Rattus norvegicus: one gene and its partners. The protein of the gene in region 1 interacts with the protein of each later gene in a pairwise test. Links are inferred from orthologs where the notes say so. Each region holds a gene or a part of one and is shown on either strand. Other genes may lie near its edges. The genes, in order: Ngly1, Rad23b and Ubxn2b.

Region 1 (10,616 bases):
ATATTTTCTCGTGGGTGATACCTCTTGAGGTTGTTACCATACATGCTAGCTTTCCAACGGTAGAAAAAAGGATCTGAGGTCGGTTTAGTCTTGGATAGGATTTATTTGGAAGCCTACTTTGTCTAAAATGTCTAGGAAAAGCCAACTTGCTCCTGATCCAGTGGCTCTCCACTTGCTTAGTATGCTCTCCCCGAAGTGAAAATACCTTTTGGCCATTTGCATGTTTTACTGCTCCCATTGCAGGCAGCCTCGGATCTCAAAAGGTTGCTGGGGCATGTAGACTGTGGAAGGGTAGCTGAAAGAGGAACTCTATCTATGCAGCCATGGAGAAGTCACGCCATCATCCATGCTGCCGTGAAACTTTTTGGTGGTGGAGATGCCGTGGGGTCTCCCACAGTCCTGTGAGCAACCCATGCTCTGAGGGTGAGCTGTACAAACTTAGAGGTAAGTCGCACTTTGGGAATTTTGCTTTGATTTATTGTTGGTGCTTTATAAAGAGGCTGGGTGTTTGTTTACATCTTCCCAGGGGAAGAATTCTCGAAACAATGCACACACATAACAAAGTGGTATGACAAGGCTGTGGCTTACATTTCTATTTCTCTCTTTGATCATTTTGCTTCCGTCTGGAAAGGGGTAAGCAGTTTATAACATCATAACAGCTGCATGTGAACTACTACCATATTGTTTGCTAACATGTCACCATGTATTCATGAACAAAAGTCTTCAGCTTGGTTCTGTTTATCATAGCCTCCTCTTAGAATTTCTCTGGATCAACACTTTATTTCCAAATCCAGTTCTCAATTAAATAAAGTTCCTATCCAACAAGTTGAACTTGTTTGTAATATTATTGTAACCAAAGGAGACTGAGGTCAAGTGCTATCTCATTAAGTCAGGAAATTATTCAAAGAAGGGAACCTAGGCTTCAGTCTGTGAGCTGAGTAAATACAAGTGAAGTAACTGGGGGGAAGCAGGCATTTCAACAGGCAAGAGTCCAATACAGACAAAACACCAGGCCGCTGTGGCCAGGGCTAAATTTGAGAAGTTTGACTGAGTAGATAAAGACACCTGCCACTAACCTTTATAGCTTGATAATCTGAATTCCATTTCTCCAGCGCGCTTGCTCTCTCTCTCTCTCTCTGTGTGCGTGCGTGCGTGCGTGCGTGCGTGCGTGCGTGCTTGCTTGCTTGTTTCTGTGTTTTGCTTGGTTTGGGTTTGTTGTTGTTGTTTGATTTGGTTTTGATTTTTCAAGACAGGGTTTTACAGCCCTGGCTGTCCTAGAATTCACTCTGTAGTCCAGGCTGGCCTCAATCTCACAGAGCTCCATCTGCCGCTGCCTCCTGAGGGATGGGATTAAAGGTGTACATCACCACGGCTCAGCCATTGGTGGATAGGGCTCACGACCATTTTCAGAACTCTTAACAGTGGAAGAAAAAAGCCAACTCCCAGAAATTGTCCTCTGATCTCCAAATACCATGGAAGAGGAATGTGTATGCATGTGCTACACACACACACACACACACACACACACACACACACACACACAAACACACACACTTAAAAATAAAAATGAGGGGTAGGAGAAATGGCTCAGAGGCAAAGGCCTTATATTTCCAGAGGGCCAAGTGTCTACAACTGGGACAGTAGGTCAGCAGGCAGCAAGCATGGTGGCTAGAGGAGGAAGCTGAAAGCTCACATCCTTTATCACAAATGTGGAGCCAAGAGAGCAAACATAAAGTTGTTTTCTCAACTACTTTCAGTGACGTACTTCTTCTAGCATGGCTGTACCACCTAAATGTCCCCAAACTAGGCCACTGACTAGAGCCTGTGGGGAACATTGTTCATTCAAACCACCACACCCAACTCCCTGGTCTTCATAGACTCCTGGCCATATAATGCAAAATGCATTTAGTGAAACTTTAAAAGTCCCTGTAGTCTTTCACAGTCTTAACACTGCTTAAAAGTCCAGAGTCTCTTCTAAGATGTGAAGCATCTCAGAATGCAACCTTCTGTAAAATCATAAGGCAAATTACATATTTCCAATATATGACACACATTACCATCCCAAAAGGCCCAAGTGGGGCATAATAAGAACATACTGGACCAAACCATGACCATTACCTAGCAGAACAAAACACCAAACCCTGTCTTCGGTTAAGGGCTCCAACCCTCTAGCTTTCCTGCCTGTTGCCTACATCTCTCTCTTGGGCTGGTCCCACTCTCTCTATTCAATCCTTGGCAGATTTCTCATAGCATTGATATCGTCAACATCTTGTGATCTCCACTGGAACCCAAGCTTCCCTTTCACAGCTCCACACCACAGTCTGCCACAACTCTTACTCTCTCAGGATCTTCATGCAGAGAATTCCCTACCACAGGTTATCTGGCCTCAGAGGCTCTCACAAGCCACAGAGGTAGGATCTGTAACCCTCATTCTTGTATCCTACAAGTCAAAAGCTGGCATTGTGGGAACAACACAGCCGAGTGTGGCTGCCAGCCAGGGATGGGGTCGCTTGAATCACATTAGCAACAGTACTTTTTTTTCAATTACTCTCTGGGATCAGAAAATGCTTTAGGCTGTCTTATAAGCTATACATTTTGCTGGGGGAGATATTGCCTAGAGAGTACCCTTTTCTTTTATTCCAGTGCAAATTTCTCAACTGGGTGAAACTTCCTCTCTCCAGCACATGCTTTGGCTGTAATGTTAAGCTCCCCAGAGCTCCTTTGCTCTACAAACAGAACAATTTATCTTGTTTTCTAGCCCAAGTCTTCCAAAATCCTTGCATAATACCCTCCCCTGACCAAAAAACGCCCCACATGGTCAAATTCACCACAGCAGTATCCCACTCTCTCAGTATTAGTTTCTGTGGATATTAAGCTTTTCTACTGTTGTGATAAAACACCACAACCAAGGCGACTTATAAAACAATGTAGTTTGGTTTATGGCTCCAAAGGTTAGAGTCAAGGGTGGTGGCATGCCAGCAGGCCCAGCAGCCAGAGCAGGAAGTTGAACACTCACATCCTTGACCACAAGCACAAGCAGAGGGAGTGACCTAGAAGTAAGGCAGGAGCACACATAGCAAACCCTGACTTCCGTGCTGCACTTCTTCCAACCAAGTTGCACCCCCTGGCCTGCCTCTACCTTTTACTGGGATCACAAGCAAACAGCTGGGAACATAGCACTCGGAGCTGGGCCAAAAACCTAAGTGTAACTTTGTTATGAGCCACAAAAAGAAATTGCTAGTTAGCCAATGAAAAGTTTAAACGAAAGTTAATAGCAGTCTCTTTGTTAAACATAATAGTCTCTTTTTAAGAATGATGCTTTCACAGTCTCATAGATATATAATAGTCTTTGGCCACAGTCCGTCCATTATCTCTCTTCCGTCACCTTTACTGCCCCCCTCCCGTTTTAATCCCCTTTTCCTTCATCTCCCTCCAACTTTCATGTCTTTTGATAGTGGTGGTAGTGGTAGAGGGGTGTGTGTGTGTGTGTGTGTGTGTGTGTGTGTGTGTGTGTGTGTATTTTGTATGTTGACAGGGTCTGGTGAAGCCCAGGCTGGCCTCAACCTCACTACTAAACCAAAGTTAACCTTGAACTTTTGATTCTCCTGCCTCTACCTTCCAAGTTTTGGGATTTGCCAACATGCCGAGCTGAAAACAACATTCTTGAAGTTGGTCCACAAACCTAAATGCTAGCATTTAGCATTTAGGTATATCTGACAGATGAATATTCAGAAGTTCTAGAAAAGTCTCAAAAGAAATTGCCCAGAAACATTAAAAAGCAACAGATAATAAAGTGCCAAAGGAGGTTACATAAGTAAATATCTTTAAAATACAAAGCCCAGAAATAGCTGCTAGCTAAGTCTAGTGGTTCCTACATGTAATTCCAGCTATTTAAGGAGAGTGGAATATGGAAGACTCCAGGTCTGACTAAAAATCAAGGTCAAGTGTACCCTTAGTGACATTTCGACATTAAAAAATAATAATAAAGCCAGTGGTAGTGGACAAGCCTTTAATCCCAGTACTCAGGAGGCAGAGGTCAGGCAGATCTGAGTTCAAGGCCAGCCTGCTCTGCAGCTTGAGTTCTAGTTTAACCAGAGCTATGCAGAAAAAAACCCTGTCTTGAAGAAGAAAAAGAAGCAATGAAGGCTGGGTATATAGCTGAGCGCTGGAGCCAATTCCCAGGGTTGATGCCGGCGACATCAGTGTGGTGAAGCATGGCAGGACTAAAGAGGTGATTCACTTTCGAAGATAAATTAAGGAAATTGGTAAGCGATACGCCTGTATGAGTCAAAAGATACAATGTATATATAAACTTTATTCTCGTTCATTTTATTCTATTCTTGTATATGGCTTTTGCGCCGGTGACATGATAAACTGAGTCCCCAACCCACTGATTAAAAAATGCTCCATACAGCAGAATCATACCTTGTGAGAAACGACCGAGGTGACGTTCATCAACAGATTTCAGAAAATACATGAATCAGAAGCCTAGCAGAGTTCTGAACTATGCTTTTGTTTCTGAAGCCAAACACCAGTCATCAAAGATTTTGAGGCAGGACTGCAGCGAATTCAGGACTGTGAGCCCAGTCTAGGCCACAGTCCATGATCGCTCCCCCTTCCCCATAACCCCTCCCTCCCCAAAAAAGACAAAACAAACTTGCTCTTTCTTCTGGACTCTTTTCTTCCACAAACGACATTTATCTACCGCAAAAAGAAGGCTGTACAATTATCCGTGGGCCTCTACCCAACACTAGCTGTCACCATAGCCCTCTCCTCCACTGGCAGGCCCGCTGTGAGCCAACGTTCACAACCCGCCTCTCGGTGGCTCGCCCCGCCCCTAACCCCGCCCCTAACCCTCCCGGAACGCCCCGCCCCTCGGCGTCTCTCCCCGCCCCCTGGCCTCAGGCCTCTGCGGAGGCCTAGGCGCTCCTCAGCGCCTGCTCAGTGCGGGCCGCGGAGCGCGAGGTGGCGAAGGCCGCGGCTCAGCCATGGCGTCGGCCACACTGGGCAGCTCGTCGAGCTCTGCGTCTCCGGCCGTGGCCGAGTTATGCCAGAACACCCCGGAGACCTTTCTGGAGGCCTCCAAGCTGCTGCTCACCTACGCCGACAACATCCTGAGGTGCAGCCGGGGCCCTGGAGCCTGAGGGCCGCAGGCGGGCGGGGCCGCCGACACTCGGGCCTGAGGCGGGGCGGGCTGGGCGACGAGGGCGCTCGCTGGGGCTGTCATTGCCTCTGACAGCTGTGGTGTCCCATCTCGCTGAAGGATCCAGGCGCTGTGACTCAGCCCGAGCACCCGTTAAATGTTCACTTCGAGTTTGGTGGTTGACACATTTGTAGTTCTAAGTTACGAACTTTGGGTTGATTACTGGGTTTTTACTTCGTTCGACCTGACGCCTTAAGCAAGAGTTTTGAAGGAAACCACTCTGGAGAAGCACCTCACAAGGGCTGCAGTTGGAAGTTTGGGTCGGCACCTTCCCACAGCCCTTTAGGTCAAATGGAGCTAGTTTGGGGAAGGTGCACAGGAGGGGACGCTAATTCAGTTAAGCCCCTGGGCGCTGGCCCTTACAAATACACTGACCCGAAGTCTGGAGGAACTCTTAGCTTCAAGGCTGTACACTTCATGTGGCCCAGCTTTAGAGAATTAGTTGGGAACGATATGTTTGAGACATTGAGGTAGGTGTTTGAGGTGTTGTCCTTTACCCCAGGCTGGCATGGAACTTGCTCTGTAGCCCGGAACTCATGCCAGTCTCGTCTCAGCCTACCCCGGAAGCTGAGATTACAGGTGTGCGCCACCACAACCATAACTGTTCACTTAGGTGACACTGGTGAGATTTAAAATAAATTGAAGCGAGGACATAATGTGACTCTGTGCCAGGTGTTATGCAGCATTGGGCCTGCTCACAGCTACATGATTGTGACCTGTGTGACGATCACCTTCCTCCTTTATGACACCTCAGCTTAACCCTGAGATCTCACAGCACCTCAGAGTACAAGGTGTCGGAAAGAATGCATAGGCTTGGTTCTCCAGAGCCCACAGCTGACATTTCCTACTGAATTCTTTGAGTCCTTCACCTCCCACGCCCTGTACAGAAAAGAGGGCTGGATTTGTAAAGACACTTTGAGCCTTTCAGTATACTGAAACCAAAGATGCTGAGATCAGAGTATTTTGAAGGACTGCTTTGCATGCATATAATTATTTGGGATCATAACCACCATTATGAATGTTTACTAAACTTCTAAAAGAAACTGGCTCATCTTACAGCCTTTACTGTGCCTTACATTTCTGCTCTTGTGTTTCTGTCTTATAAAGGAAATTAGGAGTTAATAACCAAAATGATTCAGGTTGATGTGAAAAATAGCTCTTTTAGTTTGTTTTCAACAATAATGCCCTATGTTCTTAGAATTCAAGGTCTGGCTTGGTTGGGAAATGGTATCCTATTTCTTCATGTCCAAATTCTTAAGGAAAGGTTCATATACTTTTCTGGTCCCTGGCAACACATTACAATTATACTTCAGGTTTCTGTTTCCATTACTATTCTTTTTAAAATCCACAAGTGGCAAGTGAAGGCACTTTTGAAGGATTGCCCCACTGTCTCTTCTGCTTTGGTCTCAGAACAGTTTATAGAATGGATGTGCAAGTAAAAATTCACTAGCAGACTTTAAACCCATACTTGTTACTGTAATCTACAGTGAAATAATACTCTTAAATTTCTGCTTGAATAATTTTTATCATATCCCCAACACTAATAAATCTAAATAAGCTGTAGAAATATGTGCTAATATGTATGCAAAAGCTGCTACCCATTTTAGATATGACGAGCTTACTATCACCTTTCTCAAAAGCAAAACGAAACGACTCTTTTAGTTTTCCTGGCATCACAGGTGAGCTGTTTAGCTAATTTCATTCATGTACCAATTTAGCCTAGAACTTGTCACATACCTAAGAATAATGTTGAACTTCTCATCCTCCTACCAACACCTCTAAATTACAGGTGTGGGCTACCACACTTGCCATTATGAACTGCTATAGATTAAGCCCTCAGGGCTTCATGAATGGATCCCCTGTTCCTAATTCATTTATTCTTTAATATACATATTTGATATTCTACTGTTTTGTTTACAAAGCACACACAGTTGTTGACTACTAACTATACTGAATGAAGAACCAAAAATCAAACATAGTTTCTTTGTTCAAATAATATATTTGAACAAACAGCATAACATCAAAGAACAATTCCAAGATAGTGTTTTTGACTCTGTATTTATGCTCTTATGTTAGGAGATAGTGGTGAGATCCAACGTGAGACATTTAGGTGAAGGTATAGGTGAAGGGAACTCAGTTTCTGTAGTGGAGTTTCCTGAGCATTGGAAGAGACAGGCAGTGGTTGTGAAGCCATTGCATAATCATAATCATAAATGCAATGGAATGGAGAAAGATGATTCTCACTGACAATGCAAGAAGTAATAGAAGACAAAAACAATAGAACCAACTTTAATTTTTAATGGAGGTTGCCACTGACATGTAGAGAAATTGAGTGCAGTTGAAGGTTGATGAGTTTATTGGCAGCTTGTGTAGTGGAATATTTATAAGCATCTAACCAAAGCAGAAGTTTCAAGTGTAGGCAACTGTTTTAAGTGTGATCTTAGGTAATTTATATATAATTTCCAAGTTTGAGTTTCCTTATAAAAGAGAAGAAAAATACTCTATTCTAGGATTACCACAACATAGAGAAATAAAGGACCTGGCATATATATAGCTACTACTGAGGTTATTTAACACTATTATTATTATTATTATTACTATTATTATTTATTTCTGTTAAATTAGGTGAAAAGTTTGGTAGAGTGTTTGACTAAGTTTGTAGTCCACTGTTTATTCTTCCTTTCCTTCCTTCTCACTACCCTGTCTAGTGTACAAATCCTATCCCCACATTCAACTATTTTTGTTTTGTCTTAAATCCTACTGGTGGGGGTTTCATTGTTTGGGTTTTTTTTGTTTTTGTTTTTTTGGTTTTTTTTGTGTTTGAAAATCGTTTTTGTTCTGTTTTTGAAACAGTTTCGTTGTTTGGCATGTTGGGATTATAGGCATACACTACTGTATCTTGATAAGTATTCAGTGTTTGTTTGAAAGAACAGTGGATGTTAGAGGCAGGGCCAGTGATAGTGCCTGCATCCTTCCTAAGGCAAAAAAGAGACCCTGTTTTAAAAAAAGGGGTAGGGGGAACTGGGACAAAGGGGGGAGAATAGTGACTTTCCTTACCTGATTGAAATACAAAAGCAAATGCTATTTTTTTGAAAATTAAATAGTTTGGTAGATAACTATGAGAGTAAAATGACTAGAAAGAAAAAAATATCTCCAAAGTTACAGTTGAGCCAAGTACAAGATATTTGACGTCATGAAAATCTACACATTCAGAAAAAGTCCCAAGAAAAGCTCCAAGATAATTGCTAACAAGTGAAGTAAATATTACAACTTACAAAAATATTTAATAGATAACAGAGATGGGTAGGGGAAACATCAAAGCTTGACAACAAAAACAGGAAATTGTATATAGAAAATTAAGTTGATGGAGAATCAAGCAAGAATTCAGGTGAGTGCCCAGGGTACCATAGAAAGACAGGGCTGATTTTGGGCTTAGTGTATGCTTGAACTCATGCAAGTCTGCTTAGCATTTTTCACTTAAAAATGGGTTGGGCATTCATAGCTTATTCAAGCAACCAAGAGCAGAAACAAGGGGAGTCCTGAGTTTGAGGTAAAACAAGCAATAAGAGAACGATCTGGGAACTGGACATGCCTGTTGTTTCTGGGCTCTGCTTCTGGCATGGTGAACATCAGTATTATACAGCAGTCATGTAGAGCTGGAGAAGCTGTGAGGGTGGGCACAGGACAGCTGCAGCTTTAAACGGGTATGTGACAGTGGTGGTAGCCGATGTGCATCATGAAAAGTCATCTGTAGTTAGCACTGGCGTGTGCTAGGCTCATTCTGTTGTCTGTTTAGGTGGTATGTCATGGAAAGCAGGGGTGTTGAGCATTCCATGGTGCATAGGAGTCTCCCCTCAGCTGTGCTGTAAACTTCATGGGGATTAAGATTGAAAAGCACTGTCCCTAATGTAGTAAGTGCAGAGGTAAACGTTCCCAGTTCCCAGCAATCTACATTTGCTTCCGAAATCATTTGTGAAAAGATGTAGACCTACAAAGTTTATATAACACAGTGAAAATCCCATAGTATTACCAAGTTATTATAAAAGTTATTGAACACACAGTCTTGCAATTATTGTGGAAGGGACTTTGTAGACCAGCACTAATATATGACAGTTAAACAGTAATATTAGAGTTTTGTCCTTGAATATGTGTGGTTTCGTTTTATTTTATTACCTTATTTCCTATGCTAAAAACATTTTGGAATGAGGTTGAAACTTATAGTAGAAGCAGTCATCGGTGCAGGGAGGAAAGGAAGCTAAGTGACCGCTAAGGTTCAGCTGGAAGCAGAGCTCTTCAGCTATGTTTCAGTTCACAAATGCTTCTTAATCACCGCCGTCGTGCCATGAGCACTACTGTAGATGATGGCATCCCTCAGAACAAGCATAGTTTTCTACTCCCTGTCTGACACTACTTTTAGAAGCTTAAAAGACTCAACGAGTACTCATCTGTGACAGCTACACATTTCCCATGGCAGTATTAATACTGTCATCCATGAAGGTGGACAGTAGAAGTACTCAGTGGTACTGAAGTGAGACTTATGAAATGGAAGTGCTTGTCTGCACTGCTCTGTCTTTACAGTTGGAATCTCTACTGCCTCAGGGAGTCTGGCTGGTAGAAAATATGAAAGAAACATGCATAAGCTCTTAGAAAATGGGTGGTGATAATTTACCCATGATGTTATCTTCTTTTTAATCAGAAACCCCAGTGATGAAAAATACAGATCCATCCGCATTGGAAACACAGCCTTTTCTACTAGACTCTTGCCTGTCAGAGGAGCTGTTGAGTGTTTATTTGAAATGGGCTTTGAAGAGGTGAGTACGTGAAAAGGTCTCCTCACCATTCTTTATGTGCAAAACAAACAGCAGTGACAGTGAATAGTTGTTTAAATGACAGTTTTTAAATTAACTGGTCATTTTGGAAATGTGTAGAACTAGTTGGGTTTCTTTTATTTAATGTATATATGAGTACACTGTAGCTGTCTTTAGATGCATCAGAAGAGGGGATCAGATCTCATTACAGAGGTTGTGAACCGCTATGTGGTTGTTGGGAATTGAACTCAGGACCTCTGGGAGAGCAAGCAGTCAGTGCTCTTAACCCCTGAGCCACTTCTCTAGCCCCTGTTTTTTTGGGTTTTTTTTGTTTTTGTTTTGTTGTTGTTGTTTTTAACATGTTAGACATTTTTAAAGTATAATGAAGTCAGGATAAAATGTAACAAGTTTCCATAGATAGGAATTCTTAAAGTCTCAATGTTTAGAATAAAGAGCATGAAATACAGCCCAAGAATCAAATGTGGCCCCTTTAGTCTTCCAGCAGCATGTTTGATTGATCTCTGAGTGTGCAGTGCATATAAAAGTATCATCATTGTCTCCATTAAGAAGTAGAACAAGGAAGATAGAGAAAAGAGAAAGTCACC
Region 2 (9,843 bases), on another chromosome or scaffold:
TTATACTCTAGCTGCTACTTGAGTGTCATCGCTGTTCAGGAGTTCTATTATATGTGCTGCTGTAGCAAGCACTTAGCTACTTAGTCTTTTTTCTTAATTGTGTATCTTCAGGGAGTATGACAGAGGGTCTAGAAGACAAGACAGATGTGTCCTTTTAAAGCACAGCACTTGAATAGGCGTTAGGAGCTATACTGGAGGCTTCTTCTCCATCACTGCTGGCCAGGTGTTTTGTTTTCTATGATTTGTTTTGTTCAGGTCAGTTTTGGTTTTCAAAGGCTACCTGTTAACAATATAGATTGTGGTGTTGATCACTGCCATTAAGAAACTGCACTTGTGGGCTGGAGAGATGTCTCAGTGAGAGGACCTGGGTTCAGTTTCATCATTTACATAGTGGCTCACAATCTTCTGATGCTCTATCTTAGGGCCTTCTAAGGCACTAGTCACATGTGTAGTGGTGCATAGCAACATATGCAGGCAAAATACATTAAAATCTCAAAAGAGAAAGGAAGGAAGGAAGAAAGAAAGAAATTCATTTCATTTGTGCTTTGTGAGTCAGTATTGTTGGCCAATGACACATTAGTCAACTCAAAATTTATCTTGGGTTCTGTCGCTGAAGTAGGAGCAGGTCTCCTGACTGCTAGAGTATAGCAGTAATCTGCCACACCGTTAGTACTTTCTGACATGTGAAAGTGGCCGTGGAATGTAAGCCAAGCTATACAGCAACATTGTATATTTATTTTCTTGGAGTAGTCTTGCACAATTTCATTGCATTTTTGTATGTGTGCATGAACATCCTTGGCATTCATGTAGAATTCAAAGTACAGCTTGTGGGAGTTGGTTCTCTCCTTGTTCCCAGGAGTCAAACTCAAGTCCTCTTGCTTGGGGTGGAGGGCAAGTCTTTCTGGTCTGAGCATGTTTATTAATGTATGGTCTGATACATTCAGTAATGAATGATTGATTGTCTTTATAATTAGGAAGAAGTGGTAAGACTGAGTCAAGATTGAGGAATAGTATTTTAAGTATTGATTAAATGTTGATAAATGCTTCATCATCTGGAGGTGGGAAACAGGGATTCCACATTATATACTAACAAGAATCAATTCTAATAAAGATTCCATGTTAGATAAAGTTAGAACCTAGTAAAGGATGAGGGGAAATAAAACATGTTAGAAACCAACTACACCGTGTCTTATTTGAGTTTGTTTTGGCCCACTAGGTGGACTGCTAAGCATTTGTAGGAAAATGTTGACATAGACCTGGGCTTATTAACATGAAATAAATTTTAAGTTAAACTTTAGAAACTAGTTGGGAGGGTATGTGTAGTGGTACATGATTACAGTTCTAGCACTTGGGAGACTGAGGCAGGAAGATCACAAGTTCAAGGCCAGCCTAGGGAATATAGAAAACAAAATAAGCTCTATACAAGCAAAACTAAGATAGTTCTTTTTTAAAATAGAAAACTGCTATATTCGTGGTTGTCTCGGTTGTAAGAGCCTTTTGAAATTTTTTGTCCTCCACATACTTAATGTTTTAAGAAGTAACTTCCTTGTGGGTGTTATGCTTGGTACTTTCCTGAGTGCATTGTTTCTGCTCTTAAAAGTTGGAATGAGGGATGGTGAGGAGGTGGCTCAGTGGATAGAGGCACTGGATTCCAAACCAGACAACCTGAGTTTGATTTACTTGCCTGGCCAATATGGTAGAAGAGAACCAGCCGCCGCTCATTGTCCTTTGCCCACTGTGTATATTGTGCCTATGCAGACACCTATGAACACAAACACATTTAACTCAAAAGCTGAAATTGGAGAGAAGTTTAAATGTATGGAGTGCATGTGATAATTTTTACTCTTACTGTCACTTTAAAATTTGTAATAGTGGAGCTGGTGAAATGGCCTAGCAATTATAAGCACTAGTTGCTCTGGCAGAGGGCCTAGGGTTCAGTTCCCAGCACCCACATGGTGACTCACTCACATGGTCTATAACTCCATGTCAAGGAAATCTAATGTCTCTTCTGACTTCCAAGGCATTACACATGCGGTACACATATCTACACTCTGGGATATGAAAATAAAGATTGTAATTACCTGCTACTTAATATCATAAATATTGTACACTGAGCATAACTTCAACCTCCTTTAATTGCTCCTCCCATTTGTCCTCTTCATTCCTCTAGGTAGCTTCACATCAAAGCGATTGTGTATATCTACTGTCAGCAGCTCCATGGTGTTTTATAATCTTGTTCGTCAGCCTTTTAATTTTGAACTTCATCGATTTCTCAACAGAACAGAAATTTGCATGTCTGCATGCATGTTTTTGCTGGTTAACCTAGGACCTTATGCCTAAGGTTTTCTTTAGGTTAGCATAGGATCTATACAACCACCTCTTTTTGCATATGCAATATAGCTTGTATGCCTTCTTTCCCAATTAGTTGTTGAAAACTTTCATAGAAAACCTCACTGAAAGACGTGGCCACCTCACTTGGTTTATGTGTGTGCTCCTTTATCAGATACTACTTTCAATGTTCTGCTGCTGCAGCTTGTTTTTCTGGGGTAATTTAGCTGCGGTGCTATTTTCATTCTTAGAGCAAGAGTTTTAAGGGTGTTACATTTATAGCCTTTTGATGTTGTTTGCATTGATGAATTCTCAGAAGTCTTAAGATTGAAATTTTTTCATTAACTATAAATCCTACAGGTACAACTTTGGACATAACCTCTTACGAGACTGGATTGCCCACACACTTTAATACTTAAACATATCCTTTAGAAATTAGTAACTATAAAATGAGTTATGCAAAACTTTTTGAAATGATTTTTTTTCTAAACTCTTTACAGTACACCAGGAGATTCTTCTCGGTCAAATCTTTTTGAAGATGCAACAAGTGCCCTTGGTGAGTGTCTTAGAAAACACCTTGTCAGATGTGCAGTGTCATCTTCTAGACCACACTGACAGTGTGAGCTTCATGACCACTTACAGTTAAGCTTTAAAATGATTTACTTATATCGTTAGTACTAGAGACTTTGATGTATTCTTTACTGAATTCTTTAAAATCTCTTCTTGCGGTTAAGTACCTCCTTTGAAGCAAATTATTTTCCAATGTGAACTTTATGTGGTCTTAACAGGTTTGGTCTGTGGATGGCCTATTACAGAAGGCCTTGTCATTTTCTTTTGTGTACCTCATATTTGCTTGCTCACCTCCAGTCTTCATTCACCTTGCTGTCTTTCTAGATTTCCAGCTGCCTCCTGTTGCTTACATGGGCACATAGTAAAAAGGTCTTCTTGCCCCAGTCTTTGATTTGACCTGTTTTAATAATGCTTTCTCCTTTCCCTTCATCTCTAAACTGTCAGCTTTTCCCTCCTATGATTAAACCCCTGGAGTACGGTTAATGTTTTTATTGTTTATCCATGTTTCTGTTTTGACATAGTAGGCAAAAGACTGGGATAGTTGAAGCTGTCTGTTTGACTGGGTTCTGGGCTTCCCAGCAGCAGCAGCAGCAGCAGCAGCATTCCAATGGCTCTAAAAACCCTTGGGATAACACATTGGTCCTGAATGAACTACTTGGGCTTTAACTCCTTGATACCCTCATCGTATGTAGTGACAAAAATGTAGATGTTTTAAATAGCCTAAGATCACCTAGGTATACTAAATTCAGAATTTCATCTTTGAGAAACTGTCCTGGGACGACACTGCCACCAAATACTTTCAGTAAACATCCGTTCATGAGACAGAAGGCATACTATACTTCATACAGAGGAAGCCATGAATTATAGAGAATTGTTATAAAGGCATTGGAAGAACTAGACAAGAGGAGTACTTAGAGAATGTTAACCATTCTGTGGTTCAGAGCTGGAGCCAGTTGGTACTTGTCCCTAGTGTTACTAACGGTTCTGGTTGTTGCCAGTATCGCCAAGATGGTGCTGTTGAGCAGGAGCCAAGTAGATGATGCCTTTTGTTGTTGTTGTTGCTGCTGCTGCTGCTGCTGCTGCTGCTGCTGCTGCTGCTGCTGCTGCTGCTGCTGCTACTGGTCATGTTTTTACTTACACACATCTTAAGAAGAGGCATATTTTGCTCATGTTTCAGTCTGTAGGAAGCAAAACAATCTATGACTTGACCAAGGAGCCAGCACACAGGAATGCTAGTGCCCCTTATATTTAGCCTTTATATCCCTGGACATTCCACGGCAGCTTTATAATCCCTGGGTCTCTGCTCTGCTGAATTCGTTTCTTTAACTTCCCACTTGGCTTTTGTGATCCCATTCCTGTTCTGTGTATGTCTCAAACCCTTCTTCTCAAGCACTCTAGTAAAATATTGTTCCTGACTAATTATGTGCTTTCCATGGTTCTGGCTTAGGCTATAGTTAAACATTTAAGCTGTGGGAATGGCGGAATACCATGCATGTGGGATTCCCACATGAATTAATGCTACTCATTTCCCTCTGAACTTGCAGACTTGTTTATGTAAACTTCCAGGGGGAAATCTGCAACCTTCCAAGTCTTTGTTCCCTTACTTGCTTGCACCAGTGTGTTTGCTGTTGTTCATAGGTGACAACATGGCTGCTGGTCACTTAAACTAGAGGACAGAGTTGGGGGTGGAGAAGGGAGACCATAATGAATCCACTTTCTGACGTGGCAATGCAGTGGTGCCATAACACAAGTGGGAAAGAAAATAGTTTTACAGACAGGTGAGTTGAGAGTTGAGGGAGCAGCTCTCATTCAGGCAAGCTACTGTCATCAGGGAGGGTTGGGGATGTTAGTGACTCAGATACAATACTTGCAACCTGGTCTGAAATTGTAACTTTTCCAACCTTTGTTTCCCATTAGTTTGAAAAATACAAGGTGTCAAAAGAAAAAGATAAAACACAGTCTTACTGCACCAGAATTGATTGTTTAAAATATATATAGCAGTGGACTTGGTTTTTTTGTGCAATAGCATTTTTCTTTATGCCTCATACTGTCCTTGAACTTGTGTAGATAACACTGGCCTTCAACGCACAGCAGCAGTCTTCCAAAGGAAGTATAAGAATGATCCCCAGGTGCTGACTCCCCTGTCTCTTATTGACAGGCTGCCTTCCCTGACCTGTAAATTCTTTCTTGTATCTGTACCTGGTATTTTTACTATGCATATAAAACCTCCTAGTTTTCTATTACTTTTGTAAGTTACCAAAGTTATCTGGCCATTTTTGGTAGGTCAGAACCTTTGACCTGAATTTTGCTGCCTGATACCAAGGAAGACTGTATGTTATTTGGAGACTTGGGAGAACCTAGTTCCCTTTCACTTCTAGAAGCTTGTAGACCCCCTTCTCCACCCGCAAAAAACAGCAGCAGTGCTTTTGTCTTTATTGTCTGTAACCCTGTTTCTGTCCCACTTTACTTTTAAGGACCCTGTTGATGACATTGGGCCCACCTGAAAGGTCACTTCCCTTTGTCATACATATTTATAGATTACATATTTATAGGTTCTGGGAGTTAGAATGTGACGTTGACTTACTACATTGTTAATCGTCTCTGCCTAGCATAGCAATATGAAACACTAACATCATGGAGTCAAGAACTATGAGGAGAATGTTGAATGTTCCTGTACTTTTCTCCCCCATTGTTCCCCACACACCTGTTTAGTGACAGGTCAGTCTTACGAGAATATGGTAACTGAGATCATGTCAATGGGCTATGAACGAGAACAAGTAATTGCAGCCCTGAGAGCCAGCTTCAACAACCCTGATAGAGCTGTGGAATATCTTCTAATGGTGAGAACCGTGTTTTACTTTTCTCTTTCAAACTCTTGAAATTAAGGTTTTAATAAATGAGTTAACAATTCAGTGGAAAGCATTATATGCTGGATAGTTCCCATCCCCACCCAATATTGAGATTTTGCTATCAGGTAACCTTCTGGAAAAGATTCTGAAATGATTTAAATGATGTGAGGTGAGTTAGGAAGTGACTCTTGTTTGGGGTAGTTGGTGCCTTTCATGCTAATGAAGCGCAGGTGAAGGCAACTCTAATTGAACAGACTGATACCTTAGGTCTCTTATGAAGTACTTAGAGCAAAATTAGTTTTCCTCTGGAGGAGCCAGCATTAACTTTTCTGTCTGAGAATTTCATGCCACATTCTGTACCCTGAATCTAATTGTCTTGTAACTCCATGTGAAAAATAGCTGTTTTGAATGCCTGTAGTGTAGCCCCTGTTAGTCACTGCTCTTTCTTCCTTATGAAAAGAAATTTGGCCTTGGTTTAATAGGAAATGAACTCATTACCATCTGTTAAAGTTAAAAATTTGATGGATTTTTAAATGCGTATAATTGTGTGCATCAAATCTTGTGCATCAAAATAGAAAATTTGAGTGTACCTTTTAAATTGTACTCATTTCAAAAGATAAATGTTTGAAACATACAGAAACTCAAAATATAAACTATTAACATTACATACCAATTTGTCCATCTTTGAAGTTTTTCTTTTTATGTGTGGCACTTTCTAGGTGATACTTGTTTAGAAGCATTAGATCAGTAGAGGAGACTTGGTCGCTTATCCACCAGTTGCCTGGTTTGTGTAAACACAGTCCTTTGTTTCACAGAATGACAGATTATGAAAACCTCTGCACCAAAAGTCGCCTGGAACCCATGGGCATTGAACGCCTTAATTACTGATACTCTTAAGAGTTCATTTGGACATGGGTTGTGGCTGTTACTGGACAGTGCATCTGTCACTGGAAAATTCTGTTGAACAATGCTCCCTTGCACTACAGCATTGTATCTGGGCTACTTGTAAGATTCGTGTGTGTGTGTGTGTGTGTGTGTGTGTGTGTGAGAGAGAGAGAGAGAGAGAGAGAGAGAGAGAGAGAGAGAGAGAGATTTACATTGAGATTGATTAAAATTTGAAATTGTGTTGGCAGGGAATCCCTGGAGACAGAGAAAGTCAGGCCGTGGTTGATCCTCCTCCACAGGCTGTGAGTACTGGAACTCCTCAGTCTCCAGCAGTAGCTGCAGCTGCAGCAACCACAACAGCAACGACAACCACCACTTCTGGAGGTAAAGTAGCTGTTAGGTGGAGAATGGTCTTTTAGTGTAAGATTGTTTAATGTAACGTACTTCACTGGTTAAGATTCATTCCCAGAACACTTGGATAAGCTTTGTTTCTTCACTCAAAGAGGAGAGATTCTCTGGCTTTTAGTGTATACCAGTGTTATCAGAGCTTACACTAGTAGTTCACTCTGGAAAAAATGTGTATTCACAGTTTGAATTGTTTGACTTTTGAGTGGATGTCTTACCTTGCTAAGAATTATCATTTCAGGCAGGGTGTGGAGGCACACTCCTTAATCCCAGTATTGGGAAGCACAGGTAGACACACATCTGAGTTTGAGGGAACATAGGGAACGTAGTCTTCGCAGCAGAGTTCTCAAATGGCCAGGGTACATAGAGAGACACGGCAGTGGTGGTGGTAGCAAGCTGATTTCTAAAAAGCTGGGGTTTTGTTTTTTTTTTTTGTTTTTTTTGTTTTGTTTTGTTTTGTTTTGTTTTGTTTTGTTTTAGGTTGATAGCTTCTTGCTCTCATTTTGGCAGTTGAGACTCATGTAGTGCAAAGAGGAGGCATAGCTCTGACTCAGATTTATAGGATGCCACCTCCTAGGTAACTGTGGTCCCTGAGTCTCACTTCATTATTGTACATAATATAGGACTAGATATCCATAAACATGCATGTGTTTCTTATTGTGAGCACAGGCAATAACATGACAACCTTTTATTTTGATATAGGACACCAGCTTTTTTGTGATGGTTCACAGGGCATGGTGGGTGGGCTTGCCTCTCAGCAGTCTATCCTTTTGCTAGTAGAAAATAGTATAACTTTTTAGAGCAGTGGTGGCAGGCACATTGGAGTTTGGAGACCTTGTGACTTACTTTCTCTATAACACGAGAACTTAAGTCATTGTTCAACTACCTGCTGTTACATATACTTACTGTTTTTGTTTTGAAATGTTTGTATATATTTCAGGCCACCCCCTTGAGTTTTTACGGAATCAGCCTCAGTTTCAACAGATGAGACAAATTATCCAGCAGAACCCCTCCTTGCTTCCTGCTTTGCTACAGCAGATAGGCCGGGAGAACCCTCAGTTGCTGCAGGTGACTCATCCATATTAATTTGGAAAATGGGCTTGAATGTTGTTTTATTCTGTACTACAGGTAAACCAGAGCCTGTGTTCTAGGTAGGCATATTGAGGAATGAATCGAGATAAAGACTAGTCAGCGTGCATTGCTTTAACTGCTTACGTTAGCAATGGGAGAGGTTGGTTTCCTCACTCAGATTTCCCAGGTACATTTATGTGTTAGGGAATCCGAGAGGCTATTTAATTTTGTGACTTGCTTTTCATGAGCTTGCTACTAGTGGACATTGCCTCTTAGAAACTTACCTGTGGGCATGCTTCATGCCCAGACCAGAAAATAGGCACAGAATAGCCTAGTGAGGAAAATAAACTATACATGAAGAGTAAGCTCTCTACTTAGGCCCGTGGTAGCTTTTCATTGTTGGTTTTTGTGAGTGGAGTATTTGAAAGAATTTGCATGCTCTCCTTTTTTTACATTTCAGAACTGTTGGGTTTCTTTAATAATAATGTAAGAAATCACTTAAAACTAACTTTCTGACTCTTTTAGACAGAGCTGGTCTGAAATTCAATTTCCTATAGGACTCGGGCATGCCTAAGATGATCTGTTTCTGCCTTCTAATAGATGAAATTAGTGTAGTTCCTCGCGCCTGGCTAATCTTTTTCTTGTTTTTATTTAGGAGTAAGTAATTATGTGTTATTTCTTCTGTTTTTTACATCACTACAGCAAATTAGCCAACACCAGGAGCATTTTATTCAGATGCTAAATGAACCGGTTCAGGAAGCTGGTGGTCAAGGTGGAGGAGGAGGTGGTGGAGGTGGTGGAGGTGGAGGCGGTGGAGGAATTGCAGAAGCTGGCAGTGGTCACATGAACTACATCCAAGTAACACCTCAGGAGAAAGAAGCTATAGAACGGGTGAGTTTAGGTACAGTTGAGTTCCTTGGTCACTGTATTTACACCACTCTGCACCTTGGGCCAGTGGCTCCTGCTGGCATGCAGCTGTGGCATTTTTCTGTCCCTTGCCCCAGGGACTGCGGTAAAGACTTAACTCTTAGCCACATCCCCTACGTTGTCCTTTCTTGGCTCCAATAGCAGCAAAGTACCTTCTTGAGTAAATCAAGTATGACTGTTAATTGGCTAAAGCACTAAATATTATAACTAATTCAAAATCATTCGTTTTTCATACTTCAGATTTTACTACTGTCCCCAAAATGTTAAATATCTATATGAATTACATGTGAGTAGTGTATAATCAACATGAGAGAGACACTAACTCCTTATGTCCTAACAAGTGGACTGGTACAGGCTTGGGCCCTGCAATAGCATACCTTGTGATTCTTTGATCAGTAACTCCATTTCTCCCTCACTTTTGACATTGTTTTCACATTGTTATGAAGTGTTTTGAGATGGTAATCAGATAGAGCCCTGTGTTCACAGAGATCTCTGCCTCTCCTGCTGTGAGATTAAAGACGTGCATGCCCATGTCTGGCTTTAATTTTCTTCTGTACTTAGGCTTCACTTGGTTTCTCACTGTAGCTTTTCTTTTCTCTGATTTTTGTGTTTTGTGGTGTTTTCTAGATCATTGCTTAATCCAGGTGAAAGGTTTATTAATTCATCCAAAGAATCCACAGATTGCCTTTATGTGTAGGGCTGTGATCCCTTGTGAGTTCTTTTGGTATGGAGTATGCCAGTCTGCCATTTTGCCTGTGGATATCCATGTATCCCAACACCATTTGTTGAAGACTTTGAAGGTATAGGT
Region 3 (10,549 bases), on another chromosome or scaffold:
ACCTTGGGTAGGAAGTTGTCTACTATAGGCCTCTCCCTTGACAACTCTACTGCTTAGAACACGTTGAGTGTGTCTAGAGCTACACTTCAGCTAGGAAAAACACCAAAACTTCAGTTCCTCACCATAATGTCTACTTCAAGAGCCTTTGTCTAGTCATAATGGCTCTAGCCTACATCAGCACTGGAAATTCTAACTTCAGCCATGAAGAGCCTCAGTGACATCCAGATGACTAATTTCCAATAGATGTTAGATGGCTGTGATGATTTGAATATGCTTGGCCCAGGGAGTGGCACTATTAGGAGGCGTGGCCTTGTTGGAGGAAGTATGTCACTATGGGGGTAGGCTTTGAGACCTTCCTCCTAGGCATGTGGGAGTCAGTCTTCTCCTGTTTGCCTTTGAAACAAGGTATAGAACTGTCAGCTCCTCCAGTGCCATGGCTGCCTGGACACTGCCATGCTTCCTGCTATATGATAACCTCTAAACCTGTAAGCCAGCCCCAATTAAAGTTTCTTTATAAGAGTTGCCTTGGTCATGGTGTCTGTTTACAGTAATGGAAACCCTAATTAAAACAATGATGATAATGTCAGGGACACAATGAGAAAAGCAGCAGTTTGGAGGAGAAAAGGGAGAGTTTGGAGTTGAGGCAGCAATGTTTTTGAGACATCCAAATGGAAATACAAATTTAAAAAGCAATTAGGAGTGTAGATCTTGAGTAATGGGAAGAACTGGGTGGGTACTGAAAAAGTAGACTGGGAAATTCTGTATGCACTCAATCTACATTATTTGCGAAGTGCACATATGGAAATTCTGTACTTGTTGCAACTGGTTGTATACTGTTGTTGCTCACCCCATAGCATGGACGTGCACAGGGAAGCAAGCGTTTGATCCACTGGATCAGCTCATTTCTAAAGGAAGTCAAACAAGGTGAGGCTCTGCCTTTTTCAGCTCTTACACTGTCTGCTGGCAGTCTGCTTAATGCCACATCCTTCAGACTCTGTGTTTCTCCTTTTGGATCTATTTAAAACTGCCTGCTAGTGCAGTGCTGACATTTTGCCTAGGGTTCCTAAGTGGATGTGCCTTGAGGAGCTTGCATATAAGGCAAACTTCCTTCAAGAAGGAATTGCAGTGCTGGGACAGTGAGTTCGATTTTGATGCAGCCATAGTATATATTACATAAAATGTCTCTATACAGAAATAGACAAAGAACAAGACTATGAACCAACCACCTGATGAACATAAACAGGGGCTTCAAGGACATAACCTTGTATCCCAACGGCAATAATTCGGTGATCAATAATATAATGTTCTTGGCAAGTTCATGGAACAGAACTGTGGATAATGAGAGCCAGCTGTATATACATGATAGGAACAAGAACAGATGACACTGAATAGTGGAGTTTCACACAGCAAGAGAATAAAAAAGGCTAAAGCAGAACCCAAGGGAATATCACTGGTTAAAGGCTGGATGTTGTTGAGGGATGGCCAAAAAAAAAAAAAAATGGTATGAAACATACCAAGAGGTCCTTAGGCAGTAACACTGTGCAATCTTGCCAGGAGCTACAGAACAGCTCCCAGGGAGCAGGGAGGGGGTCAAAAGAAAAGCATAAACTTTAGAGTATAATGCACCTGAATTTAAAACTTAGTTCTGAAGCTTATTTTTTCTCTTGCCCTCACCCCACCCCCACACACTTACTTCTAAAGTATGAAGAGGATACCTAAGCCAGAAGTTATTGTAGAGGGTATAGTTTATGCAAGCCATGAAAATTACCAGCTGTAAACATATGCCATTCTCTCAAATGTTTTAGAAACAAGATAAAAATGTTTCAACAGATGAGACAACAAACGAAGGCCAGTTCTGAACCTCGCCTAGTGAAATTCAGCATAAGTAAAATTACACAAATATGAGTTTTATGTAAGTTATGAAGTTAGAGTTGTCTGTGCCTGATGAGGCTCTCCACTGAGTCATCTTACTATTGTGGTCCATTTTCAACGTCTTGTGCGTTGGGGGCCCTGGATACGGTCGCACACAACCAGGACACAGGGGGTGCAGAGCAAAGGCAGAAGTAACCGCTCAGTTGCAAGCTTTATTAATCCTTATATAGATATGAATATGCATTACTACAATTTCCATTTTGGCAAGATACCATAAGATTGTTGTTCCCACGATACCAGGAACAACTGAGGTAAGATTAAACGAAGAAACATGACTAAACAAAGGTTTCTTCTCAAAATATTCACATAACAAATCACCCCTCTTCTTATTATCAAAATATACTAGCTATTACCAAGAGAGCGTGAGAAGAGCTTCCACAGAAACAGGACACAGCAGAACATAGTTTAAGGCCAAGCGAGAAAAACATTTTCTTCTCAAGGGCGCTTGCAACTGTCACCAGTCCTTACTTGACCCTGCATCTCTATGCCTCCACAGTCCATGACTTACCAAGAATGAAAAAGGTGCTATGAAGACTGGCAATCTCGGTCCCAGTTATAGATCACCACTACTTCTATTCACGGGTTCCCTCAGATAGACTGTAAAACTACATTCCTTTGGTGAGGGGAACCAAGAAGTTGGCCTGGTCTAGCTGCCTTGAAAGGCACATGTCACTAGTTTTTTGGATTAGAGTCCATGGCTCTTGGAGCACAAAGTAGCTTCCAGATGTTGAGAGACTGATATGTTCCCTCAGGCAGTGAGGTGTTTGGGCTGTTTCTTTGTATGGTCTCTTAGACATTAAGGAAGCATGGAAGCTTAGCAGAATAACTGGTCTCAGGTGATAATTGTGGAGAGCTTTTAGGCTACTTCTAGAAACTCGACAAGAGTCTGACATTGGGCCAGGACAGAGAAGTGGACCCAGTAGGAATTTGATGTTGGTTTAGGATATGGAAGTAGGCTCAGATGATATTTACATTTGAGCTAACAAAAAGCTCAAGGTAAACTCAGCCGAGGAATGTGTGGCCTTCCTTTTATCTTGGCCATCCTGATGAGCCCTCTGAAACAGTGATCACAGGACTCTGCTTATAGCCTTGTTTGTTCCTTGACATAGAACTGCCCTTATCATTTGCCTGTACTTAGAATGATATAAAAGCAGGCTGGAGAAAAATAAGTCCGCCTCAGCCTCAGCGCTGGCTGGAGTCATGTTATAGAGTCGTTTAATTGTCTTTTTCCTTTCAGTCCTCACACCCTCCCTTGAGACCTGGTTGGCTGACTGAGCCGGCTTGGTCAATTAACCTGGTGTACCTGTGGAGCTTGCGAATGTCGTTATATCCTGGCAACTACCACTGCCGTTAGTTGTATTCTATTTCTGACAAAGGTATAACAGTCTAATGGCTCTTGATAAAACCATCACAGTCTCAGTCTTGCTGTGGCCCCTCCAACTGGACTGATTTTCATTAGTCAAGGTCGCATCTGATGACCTTGGCCCAGGAAGTAAGCATGGCTGCTTACACTCTAGAATCTAACTTAAGCCTACATCTCTAGTCTAGGTCTCTTACTGACTGCCTCATCATTGCTTATAAACATAATCATTTCTAAACACCCATGTAGTGTTTTGCTGGCATGGCTAAGATAGTCCCCATTATCTGTCTTAGAACATATTTGTGACCTCTTACTCATGGTCATTCCTGGCACAACAACTGTGGAAAATACTTCTCCTTCAAGGTCCAACATTGAAGGTATTGGCTCTCTGGGGTATTTTCTTGTCAAAAAAGTGATGGGAACTTTTAAGGCAGAATGTATATTAAGAATATCAAGACAGCAATGCAAGGTTTGGTAACGTGTACTGCTAGTTTCTAGTTTAATTATCATTTGACTTACTCAAGTACAACACTGCATATTCAGCAATTCAAGTGGAAGACTCTAAACTGAGGAGAGGGACCATCGTCCTTTGCCCTCTGAGTCTCAAGCTGGGCCTGAGAAAGAAACTGAACTAAAACAGATTTACAGGAGAAAAGGGCACAAATTTTATTTTTAAAAAAATTATGTGATTAGTGTCTTCATAGGAACGTGAAAGCCTATGTGGGTGTATCATACTGTTGGCAATCAAGAAAAGTAGCTAAGATGTGGTAAACAGACCTCTCAGATTCATCTTCTCTAGCTTGTAAAAGTTGTTGTTTTTGAAGTGCCTGGGATTCAAAGAACAGCCAAGGCAGCAGGCTGTAGGCTCCCACCTAGCATGGTGCACACAACAGCCACCAAGAGAGTATTCTCCATTCACATACAGGCCTCGCATAGTACTCTCTGCAAACCTTATTTACAAATTGTTCTCTGTTACCTGTTTAGCTTATAATTTCATAAAGACCCAGACTTCCTTTTTCTTGGGAGGCAACTCTTGGAGGTGTGTCTGGAATAAGACGAGAGTTAAATCAATCCTGGCGGAAAAGAAGATGGCTTAAGAGTCTCCTTTCTTGTTGCCAAAAGCTTTACTGTGTTTCCTGTCTTCAATATGGATCCACTCAGAAGGACTAATTTGCAATCCAATCCTGGATAAGGGAAAATGAGAGATAAGGGGAAATGAACGGTGAAGTTGCAATGTTCATCTGTTAAGATATTGCACTATTTAGTTAAATAAACTTGGAAGACAATGCTGCACTCTACGGCAACCTACAGCATCTCCCAGCGAGTTGCATGGTGACTGCAGACAGATCTCTAAAAAGGGGAAACGGGTGAGTCGGAACCCTACAGCTAGAGCCCACGGGGTGGTGGGGGAAGGAGACGGGAGAAATCTAGCGAACAAGGCACAGCTCCGCCCCCTCTCCAAGGAGGTGGGAGTCACCAAGTGGCACTGCCCCTCCCACAGTCGCTAAGCAACCAGCCCCGGAAGTCGCGGGTCCGGGGCGGGCGCCGCGAGCGGGTGAAAGATGGCGGAGGGTGGCGGCGCGGAGCCGGAGGAGCAGGAGCGGAGGTCCTCGAGGCCGCGGCCCCCGAGTGCGCGGGACTTACAGGTGCGGAGGCACAGAGCGCGGCGGTGGGCGAGAGGGTGTGGGCATGGTGGGCGCGGGCCAGAGCCACTTTGTACCTCGCCTGAGCCTTTCCTTGACCCTGTCTGCGGAGAACTGGAGGGTCTCTCCCGGAGGCGCATTGCGGGGTGGTGCGTGTGGAAACCAGTGCCCTAGCCTCAGGCGGCCATACAGGGTTTCCCTTCACGCAGGATGCACAAAGCAGAAAATGTCATTTTGCGGAGCCATCAGGGTGGCTCCCAGTTGTTGCTGCCTGCATCTGGAGAGTTTCTGTGGCCAGTGGTCAATCAGCTATCACTTAAAAAAGTAACTTTAAAATAACGCATGCAGGTTTGTTCTCTTAGATCCTTTTTTTTTTTCCACATTTGGTGACTTATAGATTAAAAGCGCTTTCTTCCTTTCTTAGGAAAAAGCTTGCGTTTTTTGCAGGGGAGAGCTTAAAACAGTTCAGGCGTTGGTCACAGCCCACTTGTAAGAGGTAGCCCACAAAACAACTTAACAGAAATAAAACTCAGCAACGTTATGATGCTGACATTCGTCAGCTGAACACTTCTCCACCGGATGCTGTCTTATCAGATGCTTTTTCCATCTCCTCATGAAATCATTGATAAAATCCAACAATTAAACGTATATTACGGGTTAGAGTTGAGAATAAATGAGCCTGAATTCACAAACCTTGACAGAACATTTTTAATAGCTGGTCTTCATTCTTTAACCAGATGTACTGACCACTTGCCATTTTAACTTTGCACTGAGGGGAATTAGTATATAAATAAAACATCAAATCCATAAGTATTAATGGATACTGTTGTAAGCAATTACATTTTGGGAAAGGTCACAGATTTGAAACAGACCAAACCAATGCAAAGTTATAATGGTACTAATTGAGCACTGGTTGGTTTCAGGTGACCCTGGAGCCAGTTAGCTAGCTGTCTTAGAGTTACATCACTGTGATGAAACACCATGACCAAAGCAACTTGAGGAAGGGAGACTCACGCTTCCACATCATGGTTCATCGTCAGAAAAGGAAGTCAGAGCAGGAACCTGGAGACAGTAGCTGATGAAGAGGCCATGGAGGGGTTCTACTTACTGGTTTGCTCCCCGTGGCTTCTTCAGCCTGCTTATAGAAGCCAGGACTCACAGCCCAAGTGTGGCACCACCCATAATGGGCTTGGCCCTCTACCATCTATCTCTAAGAAAATGCTCTAAAGGCTTGCCTACAGCTTTAAGAAAGCTTTTTTCCCCCAGTTGAGCCCCCCTCCTCCCCCAATATTTCTAACTTTGTCAAGTTGATGTAAAACTAGCCAGCACATTAGGGAGGTACCCATCTGACTGGTTGACCAAACTTAAGTATTTTCTATGTGTGGCTTGCTAGTTTCCACAAAGTCCCATCTCATTGCCAGTTTGAACTTTCCCAACCTGTTCTGACGCTGGGGGCTGCCCCATTCAGGAATTCCGTTTTGTTGTACAAGTAATCTAGGTTTAATTGACCTAAACAGTCTCTGTTTAACCACGTATAACCTTTTAGATGCCTTCATAACTTTTTGGAGAACTAAGCACAGAGTCAAGTTGAAGTGTCACTGAATGCCAAAAAAGGGCAGTTCCGAAGATGAACTTGGAGAATGCAGAGATCACCATCAGGTGTGGGGTAAACACTGGATAGTGAATTGCCAGCTGAACAGAATGTCTCTGCTGCCATGCAGAATAGTCTGTTAGCTTCTAAATCAGGAAGGAGTGTTTTGGGAACCACCAGAAGAGGGCTACACAGTTATCTCCTAAAGTGTCTATGTTGTGTCTTCTGGACTGTGTTTAAGGCTGGTGTTTGGTCCTTCGGGCAGTTAGAGGGTTTAAAGGTGTTGAAGGTGGTTAATTGCATGCTTCCCAATGCTCCTACAGAATAATATCAACAGGATTACTGTTCTTAATTCTGTGGTTCCATCCAGATTAGCATTGGGAACAAGTAAACTGGTCTGAGGCTAATAGTTGCCACTATGCCTGGTCCTGTTGACTGTCATTCCTCCAGATCTCTGGTTCTCAGAGAAGTAATGTCCCTGGAAAGGCTAAATAATGTGTGGAAAGCCCTCATACCAGCATCTAGTCCACTAGGTACAGAGTGTGGCTTGAGCATTATGTAGTTGCCAGAGTTTTCCCAGGTTTGGCCAGTCTGTACAGGTAACTTTACTGTGTTTTCTACAGTGTAGCATGAGAAGGCTGAGAGTTCTAGTTCTCTTTTGCTGTGTTTCTGCCTTTCACAGAGACTTACATCCAGGTTTCCTTCCAGGCTAAAAAGATGATCAGTCCCTTACTTGAGAAGAATTGAGGCAAGACTGTCCCTTACTTAATCTCAAGAGTGCTCAGTCTGCTATGTCTAGTTATCTAAATTTTAAAGATTTAATAATATTCATGAGTAGCCCTTGTCAGAACTGCAACTGGTACATAACTTGCTCACCTCTGAGGAAATCACACTCGGATAGCATCCTTCGTGTTCCCTTTCTACTTTGCGTAAAGTCAAAGCTGCTTTATTTATTTTACAGAAGAAAAACATTTTAATTGGCAGCAATCAAATAAGTGGCTAAAAATAAGAACTGGTGAGGCAGGCATGGTAGAGTTCATGAAGGAGGGACATTCGGCTAGGTTCCTCAGATCTACCTGGATCAAGAGAGCAGAGTGTGGAAAGCGGAAACGTAGCTGCTTTTGCCTTTTTATTCAGGCTAAGACCCTAATGCTCAGGGTAGGGCTTTTCTCTTTAGAAATAATGCAGAAAAACACACCCAAAGGTCTGTCTCTGAGGAGGTTCCTAGTCCAGTTGACACTGACGATTACCCATCACAGTTGGCACCTAAAGTAAATGTCACTAGGAGGCTAGCGTATGGTATATAGATTTAGAAAAAGATATTTAAGAAAATCTGAAGCCTTATTTACATAGGTCACCTGAAACAGGTGATTAGAATACAGAAAACATTGTATGAGATACATTGAGCATATAAGTCATTCATAGATCTGAAATAATACAATTGGCTCAGGAGGAAGTCTCTCAAAGAAGACTGTTTGAAAGATGGACACTTACTGTAGTCATGGTCCTTCCCCTATCCTGCTTCTAGTTCTGTTTGGGGTTTTGGAGGGCAAAAGTAGCAAACCATGGCAGGGAGACACAGAGAGTGAAATCCGGAACACTGGCACATGCAGGGTCACAGTTTAAAATAAGACTTTGTAGTGATGGAATGGACGTGGCTTGTGCTCTATGTGCATTCCTCTTTCAGCTGATTTTCAGAAGAATTTTGATAGGCATTTATAGAAGTAATTTGTTTAGTAATCCACCAAATGTTACACAGTATGTGCCTGAGATTTGGATCCAGTTGAGAGAGAACAACGTGGTGTATGAACATGGGGTGGAGGTCTGGAGGGAGGAAAAGGGAGAAAATGATAGAATTGTATTTTCATTTCGAAAACTTATAGCTCTGTAAAATATTTGAGTTCAGTTCTTAGGTCAGAGGCATTGATTTGCATTTCTAGGGAAATAGCCACTATAGAAATTCACAAGTTGATGCTATCTCCGACAGTGAGGGAGGAACAGGAATAAAAACAATTAGGGGAGTGGAAAAAATTCTACGCATCTTGAGGGTGTACTCTAAATGTGTTTATCTAAAGGCCATGGAATCTTCAAAGGCCAGGCAATGTAGCTGGGTGTCACAGTGCTTGTCTAACATGTATGAGGCCTGCCTGTGTTCCTAACCTTGGAGTGGAACCCCAAAGAACAATCATACCAATGGAATATCGACTAGCAGCATTAAGGAAGTTTGTTTTATTGTTGATTTTTCAAGACAGGGTGTCTTTAGAGAGGCCTGACTGTCCAGGAACTCACTTTGTAGACCAGGCTGGCCTCAAATTCACAGAGATCCTCCTGCTTCTCCCTCCCAAGTTCGAGGACTGAAGGTATTTACCACTGTGTTTGACTGAAAAATTTTAAATTATTGCCAAAAATAGGAAAAGGAAAAGAAAACTATAATAATTGATAATTTGGTTATTATTTAAATTCTATTTCAAGGACAAATGTATTTTTACTTTATTTAGAAGGTATCCAGCTATACATCTACAATACTTAATTTAACAGTATTACTTTATAAATGGCTAAAACCTATATTTAATTCATCTCCTTTCCCTAAACTTAATGAAATTTGTGTCTTAGTAGACTTTTACACAATACTTTTGAACTCATTTTATGTACTTAGGTTTTGAAAACAGCTATAAGTGAAGTTATAGGGTTGATTGAATTAGAGAAAGTGTCAATAACTTGAACTGTCTTCAAAAAAATCTTTAAACCTTGAAGAAAGTTACACAGGTCCACAGCAAAAATAGTATGTTGCCAAACTCAGTTTTTGAAAGTGTTGAATAGGTAAAGAATTATTATAACAATTTTTTTTCTGACATAGACAGTTTGATTAGTTGAATAGTATGAGACCTGGTAACTTAGTCTTGGACAGACATGTTTTGAGACAACCACCCCATTTTCTCATAGGCTATTGCCGTTGCTCAATTTCAAGCCAGGTTCCTCAGGTATTGTCTAGAAGTCTGTTTCCAGTGTCAACTGTATAACAAACCTGTTATTGTGTGTAGTTGGCCTTGGCAGAATTATATGAAGATGAAATGAAATGCAAGTCTTCCAAGCCTGACAGATCTACAGCTACAGCCTTTAAGAGCCCACGAACACCGCCCCTTCGGTGAGTATTGCTTCCAAACACATACCCTGCTTTGCTCACTAAGCCCAGAGTACTTTAAGTGACCTTGGGACTTTTTAAATTAAAGTTTTTAAAATAGATACGGAAGTACTATACCTAAATTTCTTACAATCAGCTAAAAGAAACTTCAGTTACCTTAGTATATGATAATTATCATAGGCACCACGTGAAATTATGTCTTGATCCTGCTTTCTGAGGCCCAGTGGCTCTTGAATAGCTTTATCATAGCCCCATTGAGGTCTGATGGTGTTTTCAGGCCTCACCTTCCAAAGCAACCTTCATATGCAGTCCTGTCAGTTGAGGGCCAGAGCTTTCTCACCACCCGTCATGGGACTGAGGTGAATCTCAAGTTTCTGAAGTTTCTGTGTGTGATCCTGTTGTGTGATGCCTAGTCTAACAGATGATTTCCTGGGATGTGTTTGTTGTCATTAAAATCTCTGAACTATAAAAAGAATGGACTCTCACATGCTCTCACTTTTGTTTCACTCAACTCTGAAAGCACAGGATAGCCATTATGGCACTCGCTTCTAGATAGTTCATTGTGCATCCCCTAAGAATGAAGTATATAACAGAAAATGTCACTGTATAGGTTAACAATTAACAGTGGTGCCATGATGTCATTTACCATGTAGCCTGTGGTCAGCCATTTCTTCCAGCTACCTTTGGGGATTTGGGGACCCAATTAGAGACTACTCATTGCATCTGATTTTTCCTATGTTGAGTTTCAGTGCAGGGCATCCTCTCTTTTCTGTCTGTTTTTAGCTCATCTACATCATCTAAAATGTATTATATTCAGTTTTTAAAAGTATACACCAGATGTCTCCAAACTTCCCACATTCTAGATCGCTGTTTCCCCATAA

The links.
Region 2: the proteins of Ngly1 (region 1) and Rad23b interact in binary tests that used the Homo sapiens proteins (3 or more experiments, as listed by UniProt). The two-hybrid records come from large-scale screens. The link is inferred for Rattus norvegicus from reciprocal best matches to the Homo sapiens genes NGLY1 and RAD23B.
Region 3: the proteins of Ngly1 (region 1) and Ubxn2b interact in binary tests that used the Homo sapiens proteins (3 or more experiments, as listed by UniProt). The two-hybrid records come from large-scale screens. The link is inferred for Rattus norvegicus from reciprocal best matches to the Homo sapiens genes NGLY1 and UBXN2B.

What each region holds. Positions count from the first base shown.
Region 1 is NC_086033.1:11,629,659-11,640,274, reverse strand, and holds the start of Ngly1 (peptide-N(4)-(N-acetyl-beta-glucosaminyl)asparagine amidase), read left to right. Parts: upstream 1-4,946; 5' UTR 4,947-4,988; coding exon 4,989-5,119; intron 5,120-9,899; coding exon 9,900-10,014; intron 10,015-10,616. UniProt on the Homo sapiens protein: Specifically deglycosylates the denatured form of N-linked glycoproteins in the cytoplasm and assists their proteasome-mediated degradation. Cleaves the beta-aspartyl-glucosamine (GlcNAc) of the glycan and the amide side chain of Asn, converting Asn to Asp.
Region 2 is NC_086023.1:74,909,127-74,918,969, forward strand, and holds part of Rad23b (UV excision repair protein RAD23 homolog B), read left to right. Parts: intron 1-2,828; coding exon 2,829-2,884; intron 2,885-5,610; coding exon 5,611-5,738; intron 5,739-6,880; coding exon 6,881-7,016; intron 7,017-7,977; coding exon 7,978-8,105; intron 8,106-8,810; coding exon 8,811-8,999; intron 9,000-9,843. UniProt on the Homo sapiens protein: Multiubiquitin chain receptor involved in modulation of proteasomal degradation. Binds to polyubiquitin chains.
Region 3 is NC_086023.1:24,096,387-24,106,935, forward strand, and holds the start of Ubxn2b (UBX domain-containing protein 2B), read left to right. Parts: upstream 1-4,829; 5' UTR 4,830-4,854; coding exon 4,855-4,938; intron 4,939-9,567; coding exon 9,568-9,671; intron 9,672-10,549. UniProt on the Homo sapiens protein: Adapter protein required for Golgi and endoplasmic reticulum biogenesis. Involved in Golgi and endoplasmic reticulum maintenance during interphase and in their reassembly at the end of mitosis.